Xenopus tropicalis: one gene and its partners. The protein of the gene in region 1 binds, or shares a complex with, the protein of each later gene. Links are inferred from orthologs where the notes say so. Each region holds a gene or a part of one and is shown on either strand. Other genes may lie near its edges.

What was found.
Region 2: the proteins of thoc6 (region 1) and thoc1 are in contact, whole or in part, in a cryo-EM structure (PDB 7APK), measured with the Homo sapiens proteins. The link is inferred for Xenopus tropicalis from reciprocal best matches to the Homo sapiens genes THOC6 and THOC1. Residues at the interface, in NP_001334633.1 of Homo sapiens: Leu57, Ser58, Ser59, Glu60, Pro312, Glu313, Lys315, Thr330, Asn331, Gly333, Tyr334, Ala336; in NP_005122.2 of Homo sapiens: Ser227, Pro229, Ile230, Asp231, Tyr232, Leu234, Arg236, Val270, Ser273, Tyr274, Asp309, Leu312.
Region 3: the proteins of thoc6 (region 1) and thoc7 are in contact, whole or in part, in a cryo-EM structure (PDB 7APK), measured with the Homo sapiens proteins. The link is inferred for Xenopus tropicalis from reciprocal best matches to the Homo sapiens genes THOC6 and THOC7. Residues at the interface, in NP_001334633.1 of Homo sapiens: Asp229, Trp232, His245, Thr252, Gln268, Asp269, Gln284, Leu285, Ser286; in NP_079351.2 of Homo sapiens: Lys110, Arg113, Lys114, Gln117, Glu118, Ala121, Leu122, Val125.
Region 4: the proteins of thoc6 (region 1) and thoc5 are in contact, whole or in part, in a cryo-EM structure (PDB 7APK), measured with the Homo sapiens proteins. The link is inferred for Xenopus tropicalis from reciprocal best matches to the Homo sapiens genes THOC6 and THOC5. Residues at the interface, in NP_001334633.1 of Homo sapiens: Val5, Pro6, Ala8, Val9, Pro10, Leu11, Gly12, Gln13, Val16, Phe17, Leu20, Gln21, Leu23, His24, Met25, Thr26, Phe28, Tyr45, Tyr80, Asp94, Glu125, Val126, Pro127, Glu128, Asn130, Gly146, Tyr170, His172, Glu188, Trp222; in NP_001002877.1 of Homo sapiens: Pro406, Gly407, Asp538, Ile539, Val540, Asp541, Ala542, Gly543, Leu544, Ser575, Ile576, Ser593, Asp596, Arg599, Glu602, Gly603, Asn606, Val607, Tyr609, Arg660, Phe662, Arg663, Gly664, Pro665, Ser666, Arg667.
Region 5: thoc6 (region 1) and sarnp share a complex: the UniProt entries of both Homo sapiens proteins name them as parts of the transcription/export (TREX) complex. The link is inferred for Xenopus tropicalis from reciprocal best matches to the Homo sapiens genes THOC6 and SARNP.
Region 6: thoc6 (region 1) and thoc2 share a complex: the UniProt entries of both Homo sapiens proteins name them as parts of the transcription/export (TREX) complex. The link is inferred for Xenopus tropicalis from reciprocal best matches to the Homo sapiens genes THOC6 and THOC2.
Region 7: thoc6 (region 1) and chtop share a complex: the UniProt entries of both Homo sapiens proteins name them as parts of the transcription/export (TREX) complex. The link is inferred for Xenopus tropicalis from reciprocal best matches to the Homo sapiens genes THOC6 and CHTOP.

Annotation. Positions count from the first base shown.
Region 1 is NC_030685.2:12,483,038-12,486,885, forward strand, and holds part of thoc6 (THO complex subunit 6 homolog), read right to left. Parts: intron 3,826-3,848; coding exon 3,777-3,825; intron 2,786-3,776; coding exon 2,714-2,785; intron 762-2,713; coding exon 659-761; intron 560-658; coding exon 510-559; intron 1-509. UniProt on the Homo sapiens protein: Component of the THO subcomplex of the TREX complex which is thought to couple mRNA transcription, processing and nuclear export, and which specifically associates with spliced mRNA and not with unspliced pre-mRNA.
Region 2 is NC_030682.2:108,273,359-108,277,206, forward strand, and holds part of thoc1 (THO complex subunit 1), read left to right. Parts: intron 1-467; coding exon 468-534; intron 535-621; coding exon 622-672; intron 673-758; coding exon 759-829; intron 830-3,848. UniProt on the Homo sapiens protein: Component of the THO subcomplex of the TREX complex which is thought to couple mRNA transcription, processing and nuclear export, and which specifically associates with spliced mRNA and not with unspliced pre-mRNA.
Region 3 is NC_030680.2:145,037,373-145,041,220, reverse strand, and holds part of thoc7 (THO complex subunit 7 homolog), read right to left. Parts: intron 2,676-3,848; coding exon 2,554-2,675; intron 1,681-2,553; coding exon 1,594-1,680; intron 409-1,593; coding exon 351-408; intron 1-350. UniProt on the Homo sapiens protein: Component of the THO subcomplex of the TREX complex which is thought to couple mRNA transcription, processing and nuclear export, and which specifically associates with spliced mRNA and not with unspliced pre-mRNA.
Region 4 is NC_030677.2:144,830,175-144,834,022, forward strand, and holds part of thoc5 (THO complex subunit 5 homolog), read left to right. Parts: intron 1-643; coding exon 644-743; intron 744-839; coding exon 840-948; intron 949-1,523; coding exon 1,524-1,625; intron 1,626-2,505; coding exon 2,506-2,602; intron 2,603-2,927; coding exon 2,928-3,042; intron 3,043-3,479; coding exon 3,480-3,583; intron 3,584-3,848. UniProt on the Homo sapiens protein: Component of the THO subcomplex of the TREX complex which is thought to couple mRNA transcription, processing and nuclear export, and which specifically associates with spliced mRNA and not with unspliced pre-mRNA.
Region 5 is NC_030678.2:138,198,933-138,202,780, forward strand, and holds part of sarnp (SAP domain-containing ribonucleoprotein), read right to left. Parts: intron 1,633-3,848; coding exon 1,581-1,632; intron 1,069-1,580; coding exon 995-1,068; intron 698-994; coding exon 669-697; intron 1-668. UniProt on the Homo sapiens protein: Binds both single-stranded and double-stranded DNA with higher affinity for the single-stranded form. Specifically binds to scaffold/matrix attachment region DNA. Also binds single-stranded RNA. Enhances RNA unwinding activity of DDX39A.
Region 6 is NC_030684.2:48,807,093-48,810,940, forward strand, and holds part of thoc2 (THO complex subunit 2), read right to left. Parts: intron 3,330-3,848; coding exon 3,227-3,329; intron 2,872-3,226; coding exon 2,435-2,871; intron 2,035-2,434; coding exon 1,976-2,034; intron 1-1,975. UniProt on the Homo sapiens protein: Component of the THO subcomplex of the TREX complex which is thought to couple mRNA transcription, processing and nuclear export, and which specifically associates with spliced mRNA and not with unspliced pre-mRNA.
Region 7 is NC_030684.2:144,107,670-144,112,308, reverse strand, and holds the start of chtop (chromatin target of PRMT1 protein), read right to left. Parts: upstream 2,881-4,639; 5' UTR 2,771-2,880; intron 901-2,770; 5' UTR 884-900; coding exon 819-883; intron 1-818. UniProt on the Homo sapiens protein: Plays an important role in the ligand-dependent activation of estrogen receptor target genes. May play a role in the silencing of fetal globin genes.

The DNA of each region.
Region 1 (3,848 bases):
CAGCCTGCCTGTCGCTGTGTAAATAATGCACCTAAATCTATTGCATGCTGGGACATTACATATCATGTCAACCCCAAAAATAATTGTGTGCCTAATAAAAGAAAACATGATTCTAAGCAACTTTTCAATTAAATTCCAACTTTAAAAGTTATGTGTAAATGTAATTGCTACTTAAAGCAGCATTTGCTGAACTCCTGGGTGTTACTTTTTAAACAATGTTGCAAAGGTCTGGCTCCTCCAGAAAGACAGGTCTGTCAGGCTGCTGCCTCGTGTAACATTGTTTCATATGCCGGGGAATCGAAAAGGCCAGACACACACTGCTTCTAATAGAAATTACATATATACAAATAACAGAAAACCACTACATATGTATAATGAATGTATACTGCAAAGTTGCTTAGAATTTTGTTTTCTTTTATAAGGAATTTTGGGTTGACTTGCCCTTTAATTCCACCCAAATCGTCTTTATAGGGATAGTGCAGTGGGAACCTCATATTTCTCAGTGTTACCTCATATTTATAGACTTCAATCTTGTGAGTCTGAGCCCCATTTCGAAGATCTGCAAGAAGAGATGATGATGAGGAGGAGGAGAAGGAGGAGGAAGAGGATGATTTAGACAATATCAATAAATACTATGATACTCCATTCACACTCTCACCCCATATCCTGACAGTTCCATCTTCGCCGCCGGACACGCACTCCCTCTGCTGCTCACGCAGGGCCAAGCAGTGAATATAATCCTCGTGTCCTTCCAGCGCCATCTACAGACCAATGAGACGGTTAAAGGGGAACTTTGCCTTTACAGAAACTTTGCCGATTAGAAAAGGAACTTTTTCATGGACCTAATATGGTTTTTAAATGAATAGCCTTCCTATTCTGTCTCTTGATGGCATGCAATTAAAAAAAGCTATTTGGTTGTCAGGGTCACTGCCCCTAGCAACCAAAAAAAAAACTTCTTCAACATTAAATTTAAAGGGGTGGTTTACCAATATGTTCTAAGCAACTTTCCAATTGGTCTTCATTTTTTTTATCTTTTATAGTTTTTGAATTATTTGCCTTCTACTTCTTCCTCTGTTCAGCTTTCAAATGGGGGTCACTGACCCCGGCAAAAAACTTTTGCTCTGTGAGGCTCCAGTTTTATTGTTATTATTACTTATCTTTTTATTCAGCCCCTCTACTATTCATATATCAGTCACTCTCTCAAACCACTACCTGGTTACTAAGGTCAATTGGACCCTAGCAACCAGAGAACTGCTGAAATTCTAACCTGGGGAGCTGCGGAACAAAAAGTAAAATAATGAAAAAACTACAAATAATAAAAAATGAAGACCAATTGCAAATTGTCTCAAAATATCACTCTCTACATCATACTAACGTTAACCCAAAGGTAAATGTGCCATCCGGTTAGTAAAGTCACTAATCCTAAGGGGTATGTTACAGAATGGCATATTCTTAGCACCTTTGCAATTAGTCTTCACTTTTTATTTTGTATAGTTTTGAACTATTTGCCTTCCTCTTCTGACTCTTTCCAGCTTTCAAATGGGGGTCACTGACCCCGGCAGCCAAAAACTATTGCTCTGTGAGGCTCCAGTTTTATTGTTATTATTACTTTTTATTACTTATCTTTTTATTCAGCCCCTCTACTATTCATATATCACTCTCTCAAACCACCCCCTGGTTACTAAGGTAAATTGGACCCTAGCAACCAGAGAACTGCTGAAATTCCAAACTGGAGAGCTGCGGAACAAAAAGTAAAATAATGAAAAAACTACCAATGATAAAAAATGAAGACCAATTGCAAATTGTCTCAAAATATCACTCTCTAAAGTTAACCCAAAGTTAAACAATCCCTTAAATGTGCCATCCGGTTAGTAAAGTCACTAATCCTAAGGGGTATGTTACAGAATGGCCTATTCTTAGCACCTTTGCAATTAGTCTTCACTTTTTATTTTGTATAGTTTCTGAGTTATTTCCTTTCGTTTTCTGACTCTTTCCAGCTTTCAAAAGGGGGTCACTGACCCCGGAAGCCATACAGGATAGTTTTGTGAGGCTAAAACGTTGTTACTTTTTATTACCTTGCCTATTCAGGCCCTCTATGTTCACATTCCAGTCCCTCATTCAAACCAATGCCTGGTTGCTAAGGTAATTTAGACCTAAGCAATGTGCTGAATTTCCAAACTGGAGAGCTACTGAACAGAACGCTAAATATTTAAAAAACAACAAATAATAAAAAATGAAGACCAATTGCAAAATGTCTTAGAACATCACCATGTACATCATACTAAAAGTTATTTTAAAGGTGAACAACCCCCTTTCACTACGTATTTATATATAGGCACCCAAGTTGCCGCCCTCTGGCCCTAAGGTGTGTGTATAGAATGGGTTCAAGGTACTTGGCAATGGGAAGAACCTGCTGCAGGGTGTGGGTGTTTAGACAACAACAGACGTCAGCCCCACACCCCGTATGACATAAGCCTCAAGTCCAGGAAGCAAAACTACCAACAGTGCAGATTTTATGGTTTTATTATTCTGATGACCAATCTGACTTCTCAGGTTCATTTCTATCCATGAACAATAGCAGTGAGGACCTGAGGGAGCTGAGAGAGCCAGGAGGGCCTGTGGGCCACATTCAGCTCATAGGCTTCCATTGGCTGCAGCACGTGCAACAGACACCAATCACAAGACTCATACTAAGCCACACCCCCATACTTACCGTAAAGGTTCCACTCTCCAAGTCCATAGAATGAATGTTGCATGTCCCCCCAGCAAGGAGCAAGGAGTTATCCTGAGAGGAAATAGCAATGAAGGAAACAAAATCAAAACAGTGAGGAATAGGCATGAGGGCTTTCCATAAAGGTGTTTAGGGGGGAGGAGTTTAGAAGTAAATGTAGGGAGAAACAGAGGTTTGGGGTACTGGTTGTACTGGGCAATAAAATGGGTGGGTGGTGTAAGGCTATAGGTAGTTACCCTAGTGAGCAGGCAGCAGGGCAGAGTTCATCAGGGTGATATTTAGAGGTGAGAAGATAATGACTAGGAATGGGTTTTATGTAAGTAAGTGGGGGCTGGTTGAACTGCAGCTTGCTGGTGGGGGGAGTTAGAGTAAAGCAGGGCCGGAACTAATGGGAAATGATGGAGATGGGGGGGCGCTAGGCAGGTACTTCTTCTGCCTACCCTTAAGGTCCCCATACACGTTGAGATTCGCTTGCTTGGCTAGATGGGTGGGCGATATCGGGGAGCGTGTAGGTAAAAAAAAAAAATAATAATTAGATCGTTTGGCCCCAGGGCCATATATTGGCAGCAATGGGGCAGTCGGTTCGGGGGCACCTGGCCGATCGATATTTGGCCGATTTCAGGCCAGATATTAGTCAGGCATGCCCCTCGTTTATGCCCCTACACGGGCCGATAAGTTGCCGAATCAGTCCAAGGGACCGATATCGGCAGCTACAATCGGCCTGTGTATGGGGACCTTAAGTCAGGACTCTCTTGGCCCCACTGTAATGCTCCCCCACACACGCTCATGTGTGCACTCTTTAGTGTGCACGTGTTGCACATATGGGGGGGTGAGGAGGCCGACCAGGTGGCCTAGGGCACCCAGGGGGCTAGGCCCACCTCTGGAGTAAAGAAGGGAGGGATGGAGGCTGCTGGGAAAGGAAGATAAGTGAAGACGGGTAAGGAGAGGCAGGAAGGTTATTAGAGAGGAGAATGAAAAGGTCTGGGAACAGTATTGGGAGCTTAGTGATAGGGAAGAAGAAGGGGGCAGTGGGGGGGATCCTCACTTTCTCATTCAGGATCATGCTGTTGATTTCTGGAGACTCCAAGTTGCTTCTGAAAGATAGAAAAAAAAAATC
Region 2 (3,848 bases), on another chromosome or scaffold:
AAAGAGCATAATCTTATGCCAAAAAGTGCTGTTCAAGGTCTGTTGCGTTGCACATACTGTACCTCATCTGCCTAAAGACCCTCTTACGTGACATTTTCAGATTGTGTGTTGCGTGGCCATTTCTAAATTGTATATAAGAATACCCACAGTGAATGCATTATCCCTCTTTAAATTTATAAAGTATCTCGCTGCCAAATGCAACTCTAAATCACATTGCTGTGTAGGATGGTCTGTGTTGCCAAAAGGCTCAACTTTGGCTTGGGAGTGGTCTTCACACAATGGCAGGTGCACTTTAATCTTAGTGGCTCTTATTCTAAACCTGAATCAAACATGGAACAGTAACAATGTATTTGTATCTAAGGTTTATAATAAGTAGGGAAAGTATTAAGGGCTCGCTGAGAATAGGCTTGATAGTGTATAGATTTAAGGTATAGAGCTTTTCTTACATTGTCTATTTTGTATTTCAGTTCCAATTATATTCTTCTAGATGAACAGTCTCTTTGGATTGAGGACACCACCAAGCTTGTCCATCAGGTGTGTGTAACTATAGAGTATTACTGTTTTTATGAGTCATTTCCTACCTGAAAACCAGATGTGATTCATTTCTCTCCCATCATACAGCTGCTTTCTGAAACACCTCCAGTTGGGGAAAAGTTTTCTAAAACAGTGGAGGTAAGATTATAATTTCAGCCTTCTGATCTGGTGAATAGCTATACAGTATTATAACTGATCTAACGGAATCAGAAATGTTGTTTCAGCATATACTGAATACTGAAGAAAACTGGAACGCATGGAAAAACGAAGGCTGTCCAAGTTTTGTAAAGGAAAGGTAAGGCATTTTTTTTATTTTCCAACTTTTTATAAGTTTTTACAATACATGTAAACCATAATACTTACACGGCTTACTTTATCAGTATCTGCAAAGAGAAAAGTAAAACATTGTAACTTAACAAATAGAAATGTCACACACATAACTATAGTTATAGTATTGACACCAGAAATATTCTTCCATATTTTTTTGAGCTTCCTGTATGAATGTTCTTTCCTAAATATTTATTGGAATTGCCATTTCATATACTACATTACTGCTAATTTCTCTCATCAGCTGGGAAATGTTTGGAACCTCCTGTTTTTTCCAATTTCTAGCAATTAAAAGTCTGACTGTATTTGATAATTGAAAAATTACTATTTCCAGAGCTTTGTTAGGAATTTTGTCATAAATGTTAAATAGCACCACTTCCGGAGATAAAACAAAATCTTGTGAGATGAAATTCGATATTAGAGAAAATGCTGAAGTCCAGAGGGATTGGATAGTAGAACAGGACCACCATAATGCGCAACATTTCTCCTATTTCATTGTTACACCTCCGACAAGTTAATACTCTTTTAAAAAATCTTTACTCCAACCTTTTAAGACCCGTTTTCAGAATGGGTTCCAAAATAGAAATTGGTGCCAATGGAGAAGGAAAAGGAGAGTATAATGGATCAATTATGCTTTTTCTCAAATTTTGACTGCAACTTTCAATGTAGGAGGCAAATCTATGTAATTATTCTTAACACCTTTACCATCTGACCATAGTAGTTTATCCCATGAAAATAGTTTCAGAAGAGTAGTTTCAATTTCTACCCATTTTTTTTGTGACTGTATGGATAAATAAGTCTATAGTTTGTATATTGGCTTTGAAGTATTTCTTTAGATCTGGAGCTCCAAGACCTGCTTTATTTCTTTGAAGAATAGATTTGGATACGCTAGGATACTCTTTCTTATTCCAGATAAATTGGTAAAACACATTAGTAATCTTACAAAAAAAAACAAACTGGAGGGGATTGAAATAAGGATAGTACAAAACAAATATAGTAGTTTAGGTAACAACAGCATTTTTATAGCAGCAATTCTTCCCATCCAAGAAATAAATAAGGGCTTCTATGTAATTATTTAATCTTTAAAAGCTTGAATCAATGGCCCAATTTTTCTGGATGTTTTGTTAATTTTATACCCAGGTAAAATGTATAATCTTTCCGCCAGTGAAATTTAAACTGACGTTTTAATGGAGATTGATCTTTAAGTGGTATGTTAAACATCATAGCTTGAGATTTATTCTCATTTATTTTATAGTAAGAAATGTCTCCAAATTCTTGTAATATTTGTTTAAATTTGGATAATCTCTCTTTAGGATTAGATAGTACTATAATAATGTCATAGACATAGTGTATAAACCTATATGATGATTTTTAGAGCCGATTCGTATTGTATGTATTAAATCTATAAATGATTATCTTTAGAGACTTGTGAATTGTATGTATTAAATCTATAAATCTAGTATTATCAGTGGATTGCCTGCCTTTAATAAAACCCACTTGGTCACTATTCAAGACCTCAGTTAGAATATCTTGGAACCCATTTGAAAAAAATTTTGAATAAAATTTTAAATCACAGTTTAGTAAAGAAATTGGTCTCTTTGGTATCTTTGTTGGGTCTTTCCCCTCTTTTGGTCTATCCGTTATTGTAGCCTGTAGTATTTCATCCGGAAAATGGCCTCCTGATAGTATAGTATTAAACAATTCTGTTCATTTTAGGACTAGTAATTTTGCAAATAACTTGTAATATAATACTGGTAAACCATCTGGTCCAGGCTTTTTTTTTAAAGGAGAAGTTTTTATGGCATCTTCTACTTCTTGTTGAGAAATCGTGAATTCAAGATATTTATTTGATCTGCAGTTCAAATATCAGAAATTAATCTATGCTTTGAGGATTGGGTTGAATCATTGTATTATCCTCTTTTAAATTATAGGTAGGTAATATTGAGCAAACGCTTCTGCAATATCTAAGGGGTTAGATATAATTTTACCATTATCCCTCTTATTTTAGATTTAACTTTAGCTTTTGTGGGCACACCATTGAGTATTCATAGAAGTATCATTAGATGAATTAAGTTCAAAATATTCTTGTAGACATTTAGAATAAAACTCTCTTTTAAATTACTCAATAAAGCCTCATTTAGTCTTCATATACTTGTTGGAATATTTTTTGTGGGTTCATTAATATTTCTGAGCGTGATCTGACCACGTTATAGTACCTATGGCAGCTTTCTTTAAGCCTTGGAGCAGTATTTTATCTACGTAAAAAAAAATCATTTTTGAATACATATCGTGAGGATGAAAGTAAAATGTATAATCCCTAGTTTTAGGATTAAAAATCCTCCAAACATATAAATTATGATGGAGTTTAATCTTAGTGAAACCGGTAACTTTTTCTTTTATTCTACCCTTTGTAGATTTTTGAGGTTGGAATTTATTAGAAGTAGAGGTAGTATCTAAATTAAGATCTAATATTAAATTAAAATCTCCACCTATTACAGTAAACACACTTTTGTTTGGTAATTTTATTAAAAAGAGGGGTTAAGAAATTAATTTGGGATGAGATAGGGGCATAAAGATTGCATTATTCAGCTTACAAATCAAATACCTTCCCCCAGGGTCAGACTCTATGGGGCAGATTTATCAAAGTTTGATTTTCGTACCTTTAAAAAGCACGATACAAAAAAATTGTATTAAATACGATTTTTTCGTATTGTGCTTTTTAAAGTGCGAAAAAATCGTATATGCTTCATTGCACTATTAAGTGCTGTTAACTTCAGTGGAGTGCAAACTTTCTTTGACCTGCCCATTGCTGACAGGCTGAGGACACCCTCTAGATCAGTGCTGTCCAACTGGCGGCCCGCGACCCCCCTCTGTGTGGCCCCCCACCTGTCTGGCTGCTTTGATGGCTTACTCTTGTGTAAGCTTTAAATGGTATCAGTACTGAGATTAACTGCCCCCCCTGCATGGTTCCCACCTCAGATTCAGCC
Region 3 (3,848 bases), on another chromosome or scaffold:
AAACAGGATCACCTGCTGGTCACTTTAGCTGAACAGGGAACAGTTGGCAAAAGTTAGTGAGAAGAGGAAAGTCTTGTGATGTTGTTCTGCTTAGAACTGGCCATAGAAATGTCAGATGGCACTTCTTGATAACTTCATTTTCTGAGCAGAGCAACATCAAAAAAAACTTTCCCCTTCTCATTAACTCAATTTTCTGCCAATTGTGTCTGGCAGCCAAAGGATCAGCAGGTGGAGCTGTTGCTTCACATTCAACTGCTTTAAAACTGAAGAAAAATAAAAATTATATATATATTTATTTCCCTTTAATTTTTCAGGGGCGTGCATGCAAATACAACGGGTAGAGTACTTACTTTAGGGTTTCGTGCCTGTCTGGATGTTGCTGAATAACTTTGGCCAATGCATCATATTCTGGTAAACAAAATGACAATGATTTTTTTTTTTTAAAACTTTTTTTTTTATATTAAGTACAATTAAAAAGGGGATAAAAAATTGCAAGATTGCTGTTGAAAACCTGTAGGTTAAAGCTAACATATTTCTATGTATGCCCCTTTTGGAGATACTTATCATACCTTGACCATCACAATGTTTAGACATCAACTAATTTCCTGCAGTGTTTATACAGGGCTATTAATGTTGCTTCATGCTGTAAGCTTTGTAGAATACAATAGTGTTTTACAGAGCTGTATCTGCAGTGTAACCTTGTGCCATTTAGCCCTATTTCAATATGGATAGCTACCCCTCTGCTACACAGTAGCATTATTTGTATAAACTACAGTAGTGTTTCAGAAGCAAACACATAACTTTTGCCATTGCAGGGCGATAGTACATTGTATTCTAATTACTTTGATACATTTTCATTTTTTGGTGTTAGTGTACCCCTTATTGGGGCAGAACAGCCCTATTAGGTTTATTTAATGGTTAAATGATTCCCTTTTCTCTGTAATAATAAAACAGTACCTGTACTTGATCCCAACTAAGATATAATTACCCCTTATTGGGGGCAGAACAGCCCTATTGGGTTTATTTAATGGTTAAATGATTCCCTTTTCTCTGTAATAATAAAACAGTATCTGTACTTGATCCCAACTAAGATATAATTACCCCTTATTGGGGCAGAACAGCCCTATTGGGTTTATTTAATGGTTAAATGATTCCCTTTTCTCTGTAATAATAAAACAGTATCTGTACTTGATCCCAACTAAGATATAATTACCCCTTATTGGGGCAGAACAGCCCTATTGGGTTTATTTAATGGTTAAATGATTCCCTTTTCTCTGTAATAATAAAACAGTACCTGTACTTGATCCCAACTAAGATATAATTACCCCTTATTGGGGGCAGAACAATCCTATTGGGTTTATTCAATATTTATTTGATTTTTAGCAGACTTAAGTTATGGAGATCCAAATTACAGAAAGATCCCTTGTGCGGAAAACCCTTGGTCCTGAGCATTCTGGATAACAGGTCCCATACCTGTACCAGTAGTGTCTATCAGAATCTGTGCATAACAGACACAGTAGGGGTTTATTTCACTTACAACAAAATAAGCCAGCCTCATTTAAATAATTTTAGTTCTTTATTTATTTATGTTACCTTGGCGATTCTTTCGGATTCGCTTGGCTTGCAAGATCTGTTTTTTGCATTCTGCAATTTTCTCATGTGCTGCAGCAATACTACTCTCTGGAACATGCAAGAAAAGATATATTTTGAATGGTGAAATTATGTCAACTGAGCGTTTAGAAAGTTTAGTAAAGATGTCAGCAAAGCTTAGCAATATCAACAATAATGTATTAAAATGTATATTCAGCCTACTGTTTTTTAATTGAAATTTTTTTTTTAAAAAAACACATGATTACTGAAGTCTGGATATTTTAGAGTGTGGTAGGAAACTATTACCCGGAAGAAGAAGCTTTCCTGCTGCAAACAACCCAACCATGTTGTATGTCTGTAGTGCACTGCTAGAATCAATCAGTAGGAGGAAATGTGTGACTTGTGAGACTTACAGCATCAGCATATCGTAATATATAAACATTTTTTAGCAGGTTTATATATTGGTGACAGTTCCTACCAATAAGGCTCCGCTTTTTCCTCGCTGAAGGAGAGGTATTGGAGTGGGGAGGTCGGAAAGCTGGGTCCCTGGAGTGCTTACAAACCTCCATACAGTGTGAGGGGAAATAAAATAGTTATGATCCCATATTAGGCTAAAGAGGCTCTCAGCCAAGTCATTGTCCTCTGATGAAGCACCCAATGGTGCGAAATGCGTTAGGAGTGGGCACCATGAGGCACTGGGATGTACCTTTCCACTGTTTGGTATAGTATGCTTTTGAATGGTTTGTTTAAATTTTGAGCCAATAAATGGCTGGCCTGTAGCAGGTATCACATCTTTAAGACAGCAATTTAGAAAAGCTTAATGACATTAAACACACAAGAGTACCTTCCAGAGCCAAGGCGCAATTTTTCACTTTGCGTGAAAAGCCAAACCAGGAAAAAATGCTAAAACAACAAACTGCCATATTTTACTTAAATTTTATTTAAACTGGTAAAATGCCTTACCTATATCAACATATATTTTTTCATAGTTTTCCATTTCCCGCAGATTCATATCATGCACTAGAAGTGTTTTTCCCATGGAAAATTCACATTGAGACAAGGAGCTCAGCATGCGTTGGTACTGGCTGTACATAAAAGCACAACAAAAACACAATTACTATTCAAGATACTATGTATTGATCCAACTTCAGATTGGTAATTAAGGACAGGTAATTTTTTTTTCAACAATATTTTACATGCAAGTTGAAGAATCTGTCAAGATCAAACTTTAGTTAAAGTGCAACTTAATTGCTTTCAGGGGCGGTTCTGCATTGGAGAGGGTGAAAGATGGGCTGCATCACTAAGGGCATAATCAAGCTCTCTGCACTAAAAGAGCCAAAATTTAGTTTAATAACCAGAATTCTGTCTCTTAAAGACACCAAGAGTGGCTTTTTGCTGCCCCTGGAACTTGCAGTTCACTGTCGCCTAAGACAAAGTACTCAACTTGCCCCATGGATGGTAGCCCAATTGCTTTAAGCCAACATCAGAGCTAAAAATTAGAAGTAATGTGGCAGACAAGCTCTGCAGTCCAGACTGTACATATATACTTTACTTTTCAAATTCAGGACCTGTGTTAACCTGTCAGAGATGGGTAAGAAGGCAGCTTGTGCACCCACTGAGCATTTAGCGAGCATTCAGAGTAGGTCACTTAATAGACTAACAGTGCTTAGTGATGACATTACAGTAGTCAGGATCTATTTTCTGATTTATGGATCACAACATAAGAAGACAACACAACATAAGAAGTATAGAACTGAATGCATAGTTCAGATAGGGCTATAGCATTCATCTGAACAGATGACTAAAGCAAGTTGTCAAGTTTTTGGCTAGTTATCCAATGATCCTAGTCAAGTACCTTGGGTGCACTTTCAAAAGAAGATGCACAACAGCCAGGGAAAAATGTTACATTTTAGTTAACTGGGAGGTGCCTAACAAACCTGAATCCCCATTAAGGTTTCCCTGTACATGCAAATTATTTGAACAGTATATCTAATTGCTATTGGAAGTAATTTCTGTCCTTTTCCCAACTACAAATATTATTAAAACAGTGTAGCAGTATTCAGCTGTCCTCTCCAATTCCCACAATCCCTTGTATGTTACGTGATTAACAGACCTGTCACTTGCATGCTGTTAACTGGCCCATAGCATACAATCTCATTTCACAATGATGCCATCAGATGTGGCCTATGGAGCTCTTGACCATGTAGCAGGTCATATTTAACCCACGGGCTTTCAGTTGAATAGTCCAGACCTTTATG
Region 4 (3,848 bases), on another chromosome or scaffold:
TTCTGGCCTAAATCTGCCCCTTGTGTGCAGTGATAGCTGGATCGCATTCATTCCTGTCATTTTACACATACAGGTGTAGGTTACATTTGTCGTGCCATTAGCCTAAGTTGCTGGATTCTTCTTTGTCTTGGCAACTTCTTCTATTCTATTCTTCTGTTCTATCTCCTAGTGGTAAAAGCTATACCTAATCATTATTGGGATTTGTCATTTTTATCCTGTCGCATTTTAAACACAATAGCACTTGATTGCACTTGTATTTTATTTTTATATAAAAACCATGCATGCACGCTGTCAGGTTTTGCCACTCCTAACTGTTTTGTTCATTTAGTCAATAGGAGGATCAGCAAGCTAGTTACTAATGAGATATTCTTACCATTTAGTGAAAAGGAGAATCAACAAACTAATTACTTAACTACAGTTGGTTGAACTTGGCTCTAGATGTTTTTTTCCCAAAGGTAGATAGTTTTGTTTTAGTTTGTAGTTTTTTAGTAGGCATTTTCAGCAGTGTTCAGAATATACTACCAGCTTTGATGCAATCCTGTTAAAGCACTATTCACACGAAAGGTTGGTAATTTAAGCATAGGATGACCTTTGGGAAAAAAAAAAAAAAAAAAATCAATTTTTTTTATTTGTTAAATTTTAGAAGCGACGACGCCCAACACTTGGAGTTCAGTTAGATGACAAGAGGAAGGAAATGCTTAAAAGGCATCCTCTTTGTGTCACCCTAACATTGAAGTGCAAAGGTAAGCCATAGTTGAGAAAAAAAAAAACTTTTTGAATGGCATGATCAGTGATTTCAGTGTTTTTTATAGTTGCAAATTTTTAATTAATCTTTACAGAAGGAAGCACTCTGAATCTGACTTTTTACTTTCTCATGAACCTCAACATCCTGACCGTAAAAGTCAAAATTCAGCCAGCTTTAGAACTCTCTACTGCCATTTCTGCTGGGTAAGACACGCACAGTATTCCACCACCATAAGTACAGTTAGAGACAGGTATAGGGTTGGAGACTGAAAACTTGCAAAAAAAAAAAATCTAGTGGCACTCTGAAAATAGTTGCAATATGAAAAAAGTTTTATTTAGCCCACATAGGTCAAGCGACGTTTGGGCCCAACTGGGCCCTTTATCGAGCCTTTGACTATGTTGCTTGACCATTATGTATAAAGTAAAACTTTTTTTACATAGCAACTATTTGCCGCTGGATTTCTTTTTTTGCAAATTTGTACAAGGTGTTCCAGTGTAAGCACCTGAATTAATGAGTGTACAATGGGTTGAGCCTCTCTATTTGCAGCTGATGACTAAAAACTTGGTCAGAAAATAACCTGTGAAAACTTTACCTCTGTTGTTAAACAATGTCTAGGAAGGAAGCAAGTAAGTTCTAATCTGCCTTTTAAAACTTTAAACAATGAGGAGCCAACTTTTACCAAGAATGTAATATAGCCAGTATAGATGAGAATAGGTGAGAAATTCAACATGTAGAGACAGTTGTGCTCATATTTTGTCTCTCTTTACCTCCTTACAAGTGACCTACTGAATCCAGATTTGATCCTTAGTTGTTTATACCAAGGGGATGATGGAAAGACCACTCCAAATCCAGCAAACAGATACCAGTTTGATAAAATCGGGTATGTTCTGCATTTTATTACTGCCGTGAGATAAAGTGAAAATCAATGTCGTTAACAACAACATTTCTAGAGTTTGGAGTGAGATGGTAGAGTGGGGTTCAGCTCCTGTCTGCATTAACTGGACTCTGGAAACTAACCTGAACTACTTTCTGGGCTCTACTACCTTTATAGACCTGATTAAACAAATAAGAACACCAGGGAACTGTGCTTTTCAAATGTATGTAAAATGTATTAAAATTTATGTAAAAAGTTATATAAGTTAACTTTTTTTCAGTTCAGGGTGGCACAGGGAATACTTGGTTAAGCTCCACCCCTCAGGAGGTAGGACACCAACTTTCACAGTTTGTATTTCACCCTGATTTTGCTGGGGCTGCTGTGTTAAGTCCCCAGATGTTCCTTATGTCCCCCTGAGATGACAAAGAAAATAGGATTTTTGATACTGTTAAATATGTTTCTCTGTAGTGAGACACGGGGCTTTCTACTGACCACATTGGTTCTTCTGTTGGAATTTTCCTCTGTTACCTAGTTCTGCCTTGTTTCCATTTTACACATTACATCAGTACATACTGATTGGATTGTGTGTAGTAAGAGGTAATTCCCCAACCCTAAAGTGGTGTGGGGAAATAGTCTTCCTGTTTAACAGTAGTGGTTTTCTTTCAGTCTGTGGAATAATAACCTCCCCTGGCTACCTGCTGCTCACCAGGCTTTATAGTATCCTATAAAGTACTTGGTTATCTATGAAACTAAAACTTTTATATTAATGGTGGTGTCGGTTGTACAGTCTGCTTTTTGTCATGATAAACTGCAAGTCTAGTTTTAGGTAATAAATGGAGGCTGCATGCCAGACAGGTGAAATAATATATTTATATTTTGTTTGCAGAATCTTGTCCCTTAATGACTATATATCTGAACTGGGACACCCATATATATGGGTCCAAACAATGGGAGGACTTCATTTTCCAACGGATCAGCCGCAGGTAAAAAAATAAGCAGACTTCATCTTTTAATTTCAGCTGCTTTGCCTTTCTTTTGGGCAGCTGTTCCTAGATCATAAAGATTTCCTATACAGTGTAACAACTGCATTCCAAAAGACTGCAAAATCAGATGTATGGCAATGAGAAACCTTGACATTTTGCATTAAAATCCTTTATCAAGGGGATTATAGTGTTTTTGAAATCTGCATCAATAACTATAACTTCTAAAGTTATCCATTTTTATAGTGTACCTAAATACACATGCTTATACTAACAATTCCCTAGAGTTCTCTCATACCAACATTTATCTCTGCCATTTTCTCTACAGCCTGCAGTCATAGCAGACAATGCTCTCAGTGCTAGTCACATGGAGAAGACTATTAACTTGCTGAGAGCCAGATTGCTTTCACGCTTGTCTTTGCACCGGCAGTTTGCCTCCTTGGGTAAGTACTTTTTTTATTTATTTTATTTTTTTTTAAGTCTTAGCTCAGTTTTTCCATTTGCTTAAGTATAATTGGGATATGTGTTCAGTTGCATGAAAACAGTATAGAAACAAATAGCACTGATGTCCCTGAATCTCCTTTGTAGCTTCCACACAACGTATTCTGCCTTAGCTGCTGGCATTGGTGGGCATATTAGGTTACAGGGACACCAATATAGGACAAGATGTAGTGATGTGTTAACTGGCAAAACCAGAAGTTGGAGGAGATACAAAGTATATTTAGGGTATACTAAATGGTGAATGGGTGGGATTGTGAGGGGTTTACATTGTATAAAACTATTATTTTACTGGATGTGTATGTAGGATTTCTTTAATAGTGTACACAGCAGGTGTTTACAGGCAATAGATCCCAATGACAGCATTTCTTTGGTATTTCAGAACATGGTAGCATTCCTGTATCTTTGGAGTGCCAAACTCTTTTCCCAGCCAAGGTTATATCTCGACTGACAAAGTGGAATGTCATCACCTATGAGGATTATCTAGTGAGTAAAATCTTTTCACTTTATAAACTGACATGATTCTTGAGCAGATGGCCATTTTGGGGATTTGCATTGGATTGCAATTACTCCATAAAGTTCTCTAAAAATATGAGGTGAACCTGGTACTAAAAGTTAGATTCTCTGATACATTACGTTTTTTGCAGCTTCTGCCAGTATAGAAAAATATAGAGTACTGGGCCCTTTTAAACTGCACAGATATGGGCAGTTTTAAAAAAAATGATTTAATATGAGTTTGCCTTCTGAAACC
Region 5 (3,848 bases), on another chromosome or scaffold:
GGCAGAGAACCATTGATGTACAAGGAATTATACAGAGGCCAAATGCAGTACAGGTACCAAAGTAAAAAAAGTTTTCTTTTTGTTTTAAACTTTAATACTCTTTGGGCTCTTTGCTGCCCACCTTGCAGCCACCGCTTTCCATATTTTTTGCAATGGCAGACACAAGCACTATCAAGCAGGAATTATAAGGTCTTATTTTCATTACCAAGCAATCCCCACCAAAAGCACAATCAGGGTTGCCCGGACCAAACCAGAATGTAAAGTGTCTAAGGATTAGGTTTCCTTAAATGTACAAAAACTAAATGTTGGCAATGTTGCAGAGCCAAGTCGTGCATTGGTCAGTTAATGATGTTTCCCTTCTGTAAATAGAAAATGTAATGAGGTGGAAGGGTAACACTGTTTTTATGCTACAAACACTGCGTTCTCTGTAAACAGTATGTCTGGTATCTTCAATATACACTTTTTTTGAACACTTCAATGATGATATGATTTCTAAAAGATTTTTAAGAACTTGTATAATTAGCCTGAAGGAAGGCATTTCACTTTGAATAGGTAAAAAAATAATAAATGCAGCCAATCAGAAACAAGTATACAAGAATCTACTACATATTCTCACATTATTTTGCCCAAGAAATGGTTTAATCATACAGAACACCCAGTTTTCTTACCTTTCTTGTCTGAGGTTGAAAGGCCAAACCTTTAAAAAAAAAAAATTAAGTGTAAGAAAAAAAGATATACGAGACCTATTTCAGTTTAGAATTTTAATATTTCACATCCACTCTAACAGATGTGAAATGTTAGCATTTTTTCTACTTAAAGGGGATGTTCATCTTTAACTTTTAGTATGATGTTGACACTGGACATTCAAACGTGATTTGCAACTGGTATCCATATTTTTTTTTTTTTTTTTACTTGGGCCTGAACAGAAAGATGAGGAATAGAGTAACAATAATAACATGGTAACCTTTGTTTAAATCAGTATTTCAATGCTTACCGGATGGCTCGAGCTGCTTTTTTGCTGTCCACACTGGCAGGAACATTGAACCTCTCAGCTCTTTTTTGAAGCTTCTGTAAAAGCAGAACATTTGTTAATGGTTACGTCCAAAACAGTTGGTGCTACAGACAACTATTAATCAATAAGCTCAGACGTTTAAGGTAATAAATATCAGGCTTGGAAAAAGCAGACATACATACCTTGTTGTTTCTGCCAGTGTAAAATAGCACTACATAGTATCAGCACTTTGTCTGCTGACAGAGAAATGTATTGTATGACACTCAACCTATATACCACCGCCCTTTATATTAAAACTATGGAGGGATTACCACAGACAAATCTGTAGCAGTTGTGTGCTACTTACTAACTGGGTTATCTGTCCAACCTGTGTATAACACAGCTGCACTGTAAATTCCTCCACTGTGCAGAAAACTCTATTAAAAACAAGAACTGTGTTGTGAATCTAACACTTGGTCACATTCAGGGCAGAGGGAGCTCAATAAGTGCTAGCCATACAGGCAGCACTTGGCATATTTAACATATACAGGTAAGCATCACAAAGAAGATGTACACAGATTTTACTTACATCAGTTTCAGAAGCACTGCTGGAAATTTTCACCAGCTTCTTTTCTGCATTTCTGTTGGAATTAAAAAATATATGAATAGCAGCAGGTCAAAGCACTGATAAGACAAAATGGTGTCTTTGTATCGAAAGATCCATCTTTCCTACAAAACACATTGTCTATATATATTTTTTGGAAAAGATAAGTCTTGGATGTAAAGCCACTGATTGACTAAACCTCTCTTTATAGCTGAAATAGACAAATAAAGTTGACATGCATGTAGTAAACCTTAGCTCCAAAACATAGCAACGAAGCCAGATTTGAGAAAGCAAAACATCAATATCAAAGTGTTTATAAGGCAAGTATTACTGCCTCAGAGGCAAACAAGTGTGTTAAATACAAATAAAGTGGACAGTAGATTACAAAAGAAAAACTACACGTGTGAGCTGGAAAAGGGCATAAAAGCACATTTTCTTCCTAGGAAGTTCCCAGGCACTAAAAGGAAAAGAAAAAGAAAGTGAAGTGGTGTCAGCTATTATAAAGCCCTCTCCCATAAAGTGTGGGTCGTAACACCCCCATAAAGGAAGAGTTTCTTGCTCAGGGGGAACGTTACGAGGCTTTTGTTCCCAAATCCTGGAAGCAGCCTTTCCCATGGGACAGTAAAAGATTTAACAACTTTCACAGGAAGCACAATGAGGTCAGAAGACAGGACGTGCTATTCTACTCACCCCAGTGAAGTAAATACCTAGTATATGTTTTAAGACTCATCAAAAGGAATTTTATATGTGCTATTTTCTTTGGGATCAAGTTCAGATAGTTTAACTAAAGGTCAAAAGACAATCAGTCCAGGCAATACTATTTTACTGTGGGACCACCAACGCTGTGGCACTACAATAGATGCATATCCAATATGGTACTTCTGGCACCCTTATACAGGCATGGCAAGCTGCAGCTTTCCATATGTTTCTAAACTATAATTTTCAACATCCTGTCATCAGCCTTGAGGATGCTGGGAGTTGCAGCATGGCACCATCTGGTAGGCTGCAGATTGAATGTGGCTTTAAAGAGGACATCACCCTAAAAAATAATTTTAAGTCCTTATCCATCATGTAGCTGAGCATAATAAGATTTACTTTACACTATATACATTATTAAACTAGGTTTCCTCCTGTCCTGGGGTTCACAATCACAATAAAGAGGCGGTGCCATTTGGCAGTCATACTTTCTAAGCTTAAAGTTATACAACAGATTGGCAAAACTGACGGACAAGGCGCCTCCTGTCACTTGATCTGTAATGCCCCATTGACACACTGACAAGGTACACTGGAACTTTAGTTCAACTGTCTGTAAAAATATCCCCCAGTCCAAGTTACATACATTCCCTTATATTTGTGCAGTATAGTTGATATCAGTCAAGCCACCTGACCAAATCTGGGCATGTACTGACTGCTTCACCTAGATATTTAACAAAAGAAGGGGGTGAGTTAAGGGAAATAACCGTATGCTCAGAAAATGATTCCAAAACTCTTGTCTGCTGAAAAGAAAGTATTTTCAGGGTAAGAAAAACATTTGCGCTGCAGTCTGAATAAAGGATGCTGATCTGATAAGTCTTTGAACAGTCTGTGTACATCCAAGGGGTACTGGCTGATGGGAAACCTTTATATCCCCAACAAAGGTAAATACAGAAAGGGTCCTATTTTCTGTGACTTCTCATTACATTTGATGGTACACTTTAAACTAGCCAAAAGGGAAAATTTACAAAGGTTATAGTAATAGGGGATAAAAGCTCCTGCAGCTATACGATCTTTTACCAAAGCTTGCAAGATGAAGAGGAATTGGCAGTTGTTTAGGATGATGCAGAAGCTCTTTTTTTATTTATTAAAAAAAAACAACTTTTTAACCAATGACTTCTCACTTATCTGTATACTAACTGGTTATAACAATGACAGAAAAGACCATTTCTTAAGCCTATACCTTTCTTTAGTCAGTAGGTACAGAGTGCCATCTTGTGGACAGAAACATGCAAATGTAGTTATTACCATGAATCTCTTGTAGCTCTTGGCATATCCAAGATAGTCCATAAACATCCCCCACTTTAATTTAACCATAACTGGAATTCTAAAGTAAGATGCACATCAGGAAAAAACAAACTACATTTTTAAAAGGTTTAACAAAGTTTATAACTGGTTAGAAATATACTCCCTTGCAAGCTGGGTCCTACCGCCAGACTTCCTGCATGGGTGTGAGTGTATGCCAGGCTTGGTTTACAAAAACTTAACATGCTGATCTAG
Region 6 (3,848 bases), on another chromosome or scaffold:
AAAATGTCCCTAGAGGGAGCTTGGGATATACTCTTGACAGGACACTGCAATAAGGCTGGAGGAGTAATAGTGTACAGATGGTCATACACTACAGTCCCTAACCTTTCTTACTTGTGAGCCACAGTCAAATGTAAAAAGACTTGGAGAGCAACACAAGCATCATAAAAGTTCATGGAGGTGCCAAACACTATCAGCTTACAGGAGGCTGTATTTGGTAGTAAATCTTGTTTTTATTCAACCAAAACTTGCCACCAAGTCAGGAATTCAAAAATAACTACCTGGTTTGGGGGCAACAAGAGCAACATCCAAGGGGTTGGTGACATGTTGCCCCCCAAGCCAGTGGTTGGGGATCACTGCACTACAGGATCATTTCACTTGAAGGGGTTGTTACTTAATTTGACCAAAAGCAACAGAGCTAAGGGGTGGAGTGCTATACAAACCAATTACAAGCCTTATTTACAGTGTCCTGTTCCTGTAGATATGAGCTTCACTCCATTTAATCTCATTGCCCACGCCTCCCCCCAATATTTGGAACTACAAAGTAAAAATATAATACTTTTTGCACCTATTTCAACTCTATTGAGAAACAAAAATCATATATTTGTGACAGTAATGACACAAATATTATTCCCACCCACTTAAGAAATACCGGCATAGGCTGCCTTTTGGAAAATCTGACCAATTAGCCTATGGCTTCATGGCTTGGATGTGTATAATTTACCCAAAGAGTCAAAGCCATTTAGCACTGGTCTGACAAACCAGTGGCCAAAATAAAAACATGGGCCTATTGAAAGCACTTTGCAAGGTTTTTTTTTCTTCATATAAGAAATCCCAAATGTTAAAGGCCAAAAAACAGAAAAATATACAGAAAAAGTAACCTTTTAGAAACATTATGTATAACTAAAATGTAATTTTCTACCAGCCATATTACCTTACCCCAAGGGAGAGGAAAATGAAAGAGAAGGGGGGGGGGAAGGTACTGGAATCCAGAATTTGGAATTTAGACATCACATCATGGCCATCAGAATGGTTTCTCCCGGAAATATTGTTGGGACTTACAGTTTGAATGGTTCAAAATAAAAGATCTCACAGATCCCATGGAAACAGCTGGCTTAGAATCACAAAAATAGGGGGAAAAAATAAAAAAGGTGCATGGATTTAGCTACCATTAGTCTTCAAAGCCGCCAACGGACATTTGTTGCTTGGATGCCAGAGGTTTTTGTCTCAGATTGGAGAGTAGTATTAGGTAACTGCCACATCTGGTTTTAACGCAGTGTACGGACCAACACAACAGGACAGAATTACACTTCCAGGGGAGGAACTAAAGCTGAATGCGCTTCCAAATTACACAACTATAGAACAGAGCATCAGACTTTTTAAATGGAACTCTTTCAGGATTCCTTCTTAGAAGGCACATATCGGCAGTGAAGCTCAAGATGCCTGACGATTTCGTGTGGTATTTCGTGCATTTCTGCAACATCTCAGGATATCTTCAGTGCAATGGATTCTTCAATATTAAGTGTTGAAAAATATATATATATAACAATATGCTTGACTCCGCTCAAAGGAGGACTGCTTGTCGTTAGCACACTTTCTCAAAGCCAATAAAAAAAACGAACTGCTTACAAATAAATATTCAGGCACTTCTCCACCAAATCGGTCTTGAACAAAATTTCATTTTTCAGCTATATACAAAAATAATGCTGCTAGGTCCTTGAAGATTTTTTTTTTTTTTTTATTTTATAGAAAAATGATGCAATTAGAAAAATAGTCCATACTGGGCAAAAAACTTTTTACTGTGATTTCATGATTCAAAATACCAACATAAAAATGTAATTAACTGAAAAAAACAAAAACAAAAACACTTCCAGAGACTTCCATTGGACATTTGGCACCAAACTCGAAGGAAGATGGATGCTGGAACTCCACACAGGTTAGCCTATTATGGATACAGCCTTCCTCATGCTATACTAACCTTTACTGCTGAGGAATGTGATGGAGAAGAATGTGTATCAATTTTGCGTCGTTTTTGTTCTGGGGGAAAAAAAGGGGGGGGGGGGGGGAGCTGTTAAAATAAATGTAAATTACACCAAAAAAAACAAAACATGCAATTTGAGAAATCATTCTTTTCCTGTCCTTTCAAACTCATCCTATCCTGTTCTAGGGCTCCTCTAACAAGGCTATCTTTCTACAATAGACCAAGACATCGATAAGCTTTACAAAGTATAATAGGGTGGCCTGGATAGGCAACAGATATATAGAACCTAACAAGTGCACTTTCTACACTTTTGTCATTTTCTTCCACAGAACCTATTTTAAAAAAACTGCTGTGTGTTGTAGGTATCCTCCTTCCTGGAAAACTGTCCAACCTACATTCACTTCCTAATCGACTAATAATAGGCCAACATTTAACTAGCCCTCCTTGAAAACTTACCCCTCTCAGTTTCGGTCATGTCTGTACGGGGAACAGGAGACTTCAAGGACCCAGATACAGCTGCTTTATCTCCGGATTTGGAATTTTCCTTGGATTTGACTTCTTTCAATGCCTCTTTCTCTCTGGAGAGCTCCTTCTCTCTCTCCTTTTCTGAAGGGACTTTGGACTCGTTGCTCATGAGAACTGCCTTCGATTTGTCTTCCTTCTGAGACTTTTCTTCCTTCTTGGCCTTCTCCTTTTCTTTGTCAGCTTTGGGAGTCTTCTCCTTGGCATCACGCAACTTTTCATCTTTGCTCGAACGGTCTTCCTTGGCTTTTTCTTTTGCCTCCTTTCCTGGTGCCTTGGTCTCAAGAGGTGCTACTGGTGTTTTCTCTCGTTTGTCTTTCTCCTTTTCTTTCCCAGTTTTATCTTTGTCTTCTTTTTCTTTAAGCACTTTGCTGCATGGAAATAGTTTGGATTTTAATGCAAAATCTCCTAAATTCTGTAACACTTAAACCTGAAACAATAACTAATTCCTTTATCCATTTCACGAATCCCAAGAGTAGCTGGTCTTTCCAAGAAAGCAACAAACTGTCCTCCCGTTTCATTTCCCCCCTTAACTTACACTCTAATTAAGCATTAATACAGTAATCTCAGCATGACATGGGGTCAGGGCAATTTCTCATTAAAGGGACACTAAAGAAAACATATAAGCTACTTCATGATAGATTCTAATATGACTAACACAGCATAGTTGTGCAACAGCCCCTAACAGCTCTGTGCTTAGAAGTTTAACAGCAATATAATATGTACCTAGAAGAAGCGCTGTTCCCATTGCTTGCAGTCACCTTTGGTGCTGTGCTGGCAGCTTTAGTAACAACTTTTAGAGCACTCTGAGATTTCTCCTTGATTTTTTCTGACAAAAGAAAATTGAGAAACATGCATCACCATGACACCTCTAAATGTACACACAGAATTACTCATATTCAACGGAATGGGCCAGCTAAGAGGATTCATCCATTTAGATGTATTTTACTAATTACTAATCTTTAGTTTAGTGTGTATACTGTATATGTAGTATATGCGCTTTTGTAACATGTACTAGAATGAGAAGTGAATGTACCCAGATACACGATGAGCAAGATAGGGTCTTATAAGTCAGCTCCTTTGCTGACATAGCTTTATAAGCACTGAAGACAACATTAAAGGAGAAGGAAAGGTAAAAACTAAGTAAGCTTTATCAGAAAGGTCTGTGCAAATACAAACATAAGCACTCACAGAAATTCTGCACCGAGTTCTCTTTCAAAAGATACAGGATTTCTTGTCTGTTTGTTTTCCGGTGCCAGAGACACAGAGCTCTCTCCTCTCTCCTGCTCCCCCCTCCCTCAACAATGCTAAGAACTCCCTCCCCCCCTTATGAATGTGTATCTGAGCC
Region 7 (4,639 bases), on another chromosome or scaffold:
GCTCTGCAAGGCTACTATTTTATTGCAGCGGTTACTTATTTTTTCTATTTAAGTCCTCTCCTACCTATATAGCACTACCTGGTTGCTAAGGTAATTTGAACCCTAGCAACCAGATAACTGCTGAAATTCCAAACTAGAGCATTGCTGAACAAAAAGTGAAAAAAAAAAAAAACGAAGACCAATTGCAATTTACTCTCTACATCATACTAAAAGTTAACTCAAAGGTGAACTTCCCCTTTAATACCAACTGCACCAGTTACGGGAAAGACCATGGCACGAGAGGGGTACAGATGGAACAGGAAGGCATGAATGGGATGGTTAAACCCCAGGGGGACCCCAAGAAATGAGGGGGTGCAAGAGCAGACACATGCAGGGAATGGACTGAGCAAAGCGGTTGCCTCTTACAAGACCCTAGAACGAGGTTAAAGGGCCTCTGGGCAGGGAGAGAGACCCCCGAATCATGCCTCTTACAGGAGCGACCACACGCGGGCATGTGTCGCCCCCCGGGCACGGCAGCGGGTGTAACGCAGCGCAGGTAACATGCTACCAGGCCGCAGCTGAGATTCTGACCCATGTACATACGTGTGGAAGAGAAGGGGGGGAGTGAGTGTATCACATTGCCTGATTATACTTTACCAACTGCTAGTGACAATCTCACACACAGGCCCGGCCCCCTGTGGTACAGCTGCCGCAGCAGCGGGCGCCCACTTTTGTGTTTAAGGGGGGGTGGGCACGGGGCGAGGCATGCCCATGTGAGGCAGTGTGAGACACGGGCTACATATGCTATAGCAGCTGCCCGGCCTGTGGGGCTTCCTCACCGCTCATTCAGCGACAGCTTTGTGGTACTCTTTAGCACAACTTTAGATGCAGACGGGGCGGCCATCTTGAAGTCTGGCAAACCTGCAAGGGACACAGCAAAGTTAGTCACGTGTTTGTAACACACAGTCCCCTTTACTCTAAACAGGGAGTGTAGGACATGAGCAGCACTGGTACCGACCCAACCCTGCCCCCCCCCGAACCACTGTCCCATAAACAGAACTATACCTCTCAGCCCCCCAAAGCCCTTTAGTACCCTGCCCCCCCCAGAACCACTGTCCCATAAACAGAACTATACCTCTCAGCCCCCCAAAGCCCTTTAGTACCCTGCCCCCCCCCCAGAACCACTGTCCCATAAACAGAACTATACCTCTCAGCCCCCCAAAGCCCTTTAGTACCCTGCCCCCCCCAGAATCACTGTCCCATAAACAGAACTATACCTCTCAGCCCCCCAAAGCCCTTTAGTACCCTGCCCCCCCCAGAATCACTGTCCCATAAACAGAACCTATACCTCTCAGCCCCCCAAAGCCCTTTAGTACCCTGCCCCCCCAGAATCACTGTCCCATAAACAGAACTATACCTCTCAGCCCCCAAAGCCCTTTAGTACCCTGCGCCCCCCCAGAATCACTGTCCCATAAACAGAACTATACCTCTCAGCCCCCCAAAGCCCTTAGTACCCTGCCCCCCCAGAATCACTGTCCCATAAACAGAACTATACCTGCTCAGCCCCCCAAAGCCCTTTAGTACCCTGCCCCCCCAATCCCCCCCAAAGACTAACCCTCTCCAACCAAGCCTTTAAAACCCTTGCCCCCCCCCCCAAAGCCCCTTAGTACCCTGCCCCCCCCCCCCCAGAAGCCCTTTAGTACCCTGCCCCCCCCCCAAAGCCCTTTAGTACCCTGCCCCCCCCCCAAAGCCCTTTAGTACCCTGCCCCCCAAAAGCGGCTAGGACCCTCCCCCCCCCCAAAGCCCTTTAGTACCCTGCCCACCCCCCCAAAGCCCTTTAGTACCCTGCCCCCCCCACAAAGCCCTTTAGTACCCTGCCCCCCCCCCAAAGCCCTTTAGTACCCTGCCCCCCCCCAAGCCCTTTAGTACCCTGCCCCCCCCCCAAAGCCCTTTAGTACCCTGCCCCCCCCCAAAGCCCTTAGTACCCTGGCCCCCCCCCAAGCCCTTTAGTACCCTGCCCCCCCCCCAAAGCCCTTTAGTACCCTGGCCCCCCCAAGCCCTTTTAGTACCCTGCCCCCCCCCAAAGCCCTTTAGTACCCTGCCCCCCCCCCAAAGCCCTTTAGTACCCTGCCCCCCCCCAAAAGCCCTTTAGTACCCTGCCCCCCCCAAAGCCCTTTAGTACCCTGCCCCCCCCCAAAGCCCTTTAGTACCCTGCCCCCCCCCCAAAGCCCTTTAGTACCCCTGCCCCCCCCCCAAAGCCCTTTAGTACCCTGCCCCCCCCAAAGCCCTTTAGTACCCTGCCCCCCCCAAAGCCCTTTAGTACCCTGCCCCCCCCCCAAAGCCCTTAGTACCCTGCCCCCCCAAAGCTTAGACCTGCCCCCAAAGCCCTTTAGTACCCTGCCCCCCCCCAAAGCCCTTTAGTACCCTGCCCCCCAAGCCCTTTAGTACCCTGCCCCCCCAAAGCCCTTTATACCCTGCCCCCCCCCAAAGCCCTTTAGTACCCCTGCCCCCAAAGCCCTTTAGTACCCTGCCCCCCCCAAAGCCCTTTAGTACCCTGCCCCCCCCCAAAGCCCTTTAGTACCCTGCCCCCCAAAGCCCTTTAGTACCCTGGCCCCCCCTCCCAGCCCCCCAAAGCCCTTTAGTACCCTGCCCCCCCAGAATCAGTCCCATAAACAGAACTATACCTCTCAGCCCCCCAGGCCTCTATGCCCAGGGGCGTGGGAAGCAGTTACCCCCGGCCCCCCATTCATACCCCAGCACCGAGCCCGGTACCCCCTCCCCTCACACTCACCGAGCGGCTCTGGAGTCCGGGGTGCGCTTGGCTAACGGACGGGATCCCCCCAAATAAAAGCAAGAGGGCTACGGTAGCACTGACTCTCCCTGCCTATCGCTCTACTCCCGACACACAGCACAAAATGGCGCCTAACACTGACCCTACGCCGGCAAAATGGAGGCGGCTTTAATGCGTCGAGCCACGTATCTCCATTCCCCGCCCCTTCCGAGCCTCTTAGTGGATGGTTACTATGGATACCTGCCCGGGATGGGTGTCCATCTTGGGAAGGGAAATGCGCTACAAATCAACGAGAGGTCGCCGCCATCTTGGGATGGGCACGCAAAACACTCACCTACATAACTGACTAGTTTCATTTTCAGCAATTGCGCTCTTTACATTGCAGAATCTCAGAATGTAGGGGTTGCTAAACTATATCTGACGTTATTATTAGCTAAAAAACAAAACTTTGTTGTTTCTGAGGTACAGGTCCTGAACTGAACTGTGTTACATGTGCTGCTTAATGGCAGCATTAATGTGTCTATGAACATTCCCATTCATCCAGGCCATGATATACAGTATCTAGCAGAATTAAGTCTAAAGCAACTGGACTTTTCTGAGTTTTTTTCTTGAAAACATTTCACCACTCATCCCAGTGGCTTCTTCAGTTCTGAAGAAGCCACTCAGATGAGTGGTGAAATGTAAACTCAGAAAAGTCCAGTTGTTTTTAGACTTAATTCTATAATGTCTTATTTTCACAGCCGCTGGTCTTACATATCAACTGGACAGGCCTAGCAGAACCCACTGATGGTACTGGACTGAACTCCCATGTTCCACACTAATATAATGGACCATTTCTCATGAATGTCTCCGTTAGGCAGCACACACTAATGTCTTTGTTAGAAGCCGGTCTCATTCCCAAGAATGTAATAAAGTCACTTATGTTGTCTTGAAGCAGAGAGCAGACAGCAAAAACCAATAGGAATGTGTATCCAAGCTGGGACCCGGTATTAAGCGGATATTTCCAGATGGTACCTGGCCGTCCATAAACAACACCCTGTCCTTAATTCTTCATGTCAATGTGGAACTCTGGGTAATCAGTTGTGGGGGGGGGGGGCAGGTAACCGAGCACTATGGCATTGTCCCATTTACAAGTGGGGAATCCCCTTACCGGGAATGGATTTGCCCTTCTATCCCTCACTAATACCAGCGCCCTCCCCTGTGGAACCTGTGTGTTGGGGCAAAATCGTCCCACTGGTAAAGGAGCAAGAAGCCCCCAGGTACCCGTGGGCCAGCAACTCACAGTGGCCAGAGAAATTATGTTTACAGACGTGTTCTCGGAACTCCCTGGTAAGACATATAAAGTAGGAAGAGACCCAGGGGTGAAAGTCAGATCTCACCCCTCAAAAGTCTAATAGTGACTGGCATAGCTCCATAGTCCTGGTCCCTAAGCCATATGGGCCAATAAGGTTTTGTATAGACCTGTGCAAGTTCAATGCCCTGAGTGGATAAGCGAATGGACTCCTTGGGGGAGGCAGTGTATATATATCTACCTTAGACTATTGGCAGATTCCCCTTGTGGAAAATTCCAAACTCAAAACTTCTTTGTAACCCACTATGGATTATAACAAATTAACATGATGCCATGTGGCCTACATGGAGCCCCTGCTACCTTCCAAAGGCTCATAGGTAAGGAGTTGGGCCCTCATACGGGTTATGCTGCTGCCTATCTGGAGGACATGGTAGTTTACAGAAAAACCTGGCAAGGTCACCTGGACTGGGTAGCAAATTCCAAGAAATATGCATTGGGTTAAACTGAGACAAAGTACTTAGGGTATGGAGTAGGTAATGTGCAGGTTGAGACCTGTGGTAGATAAAGCAGCTCTCAAA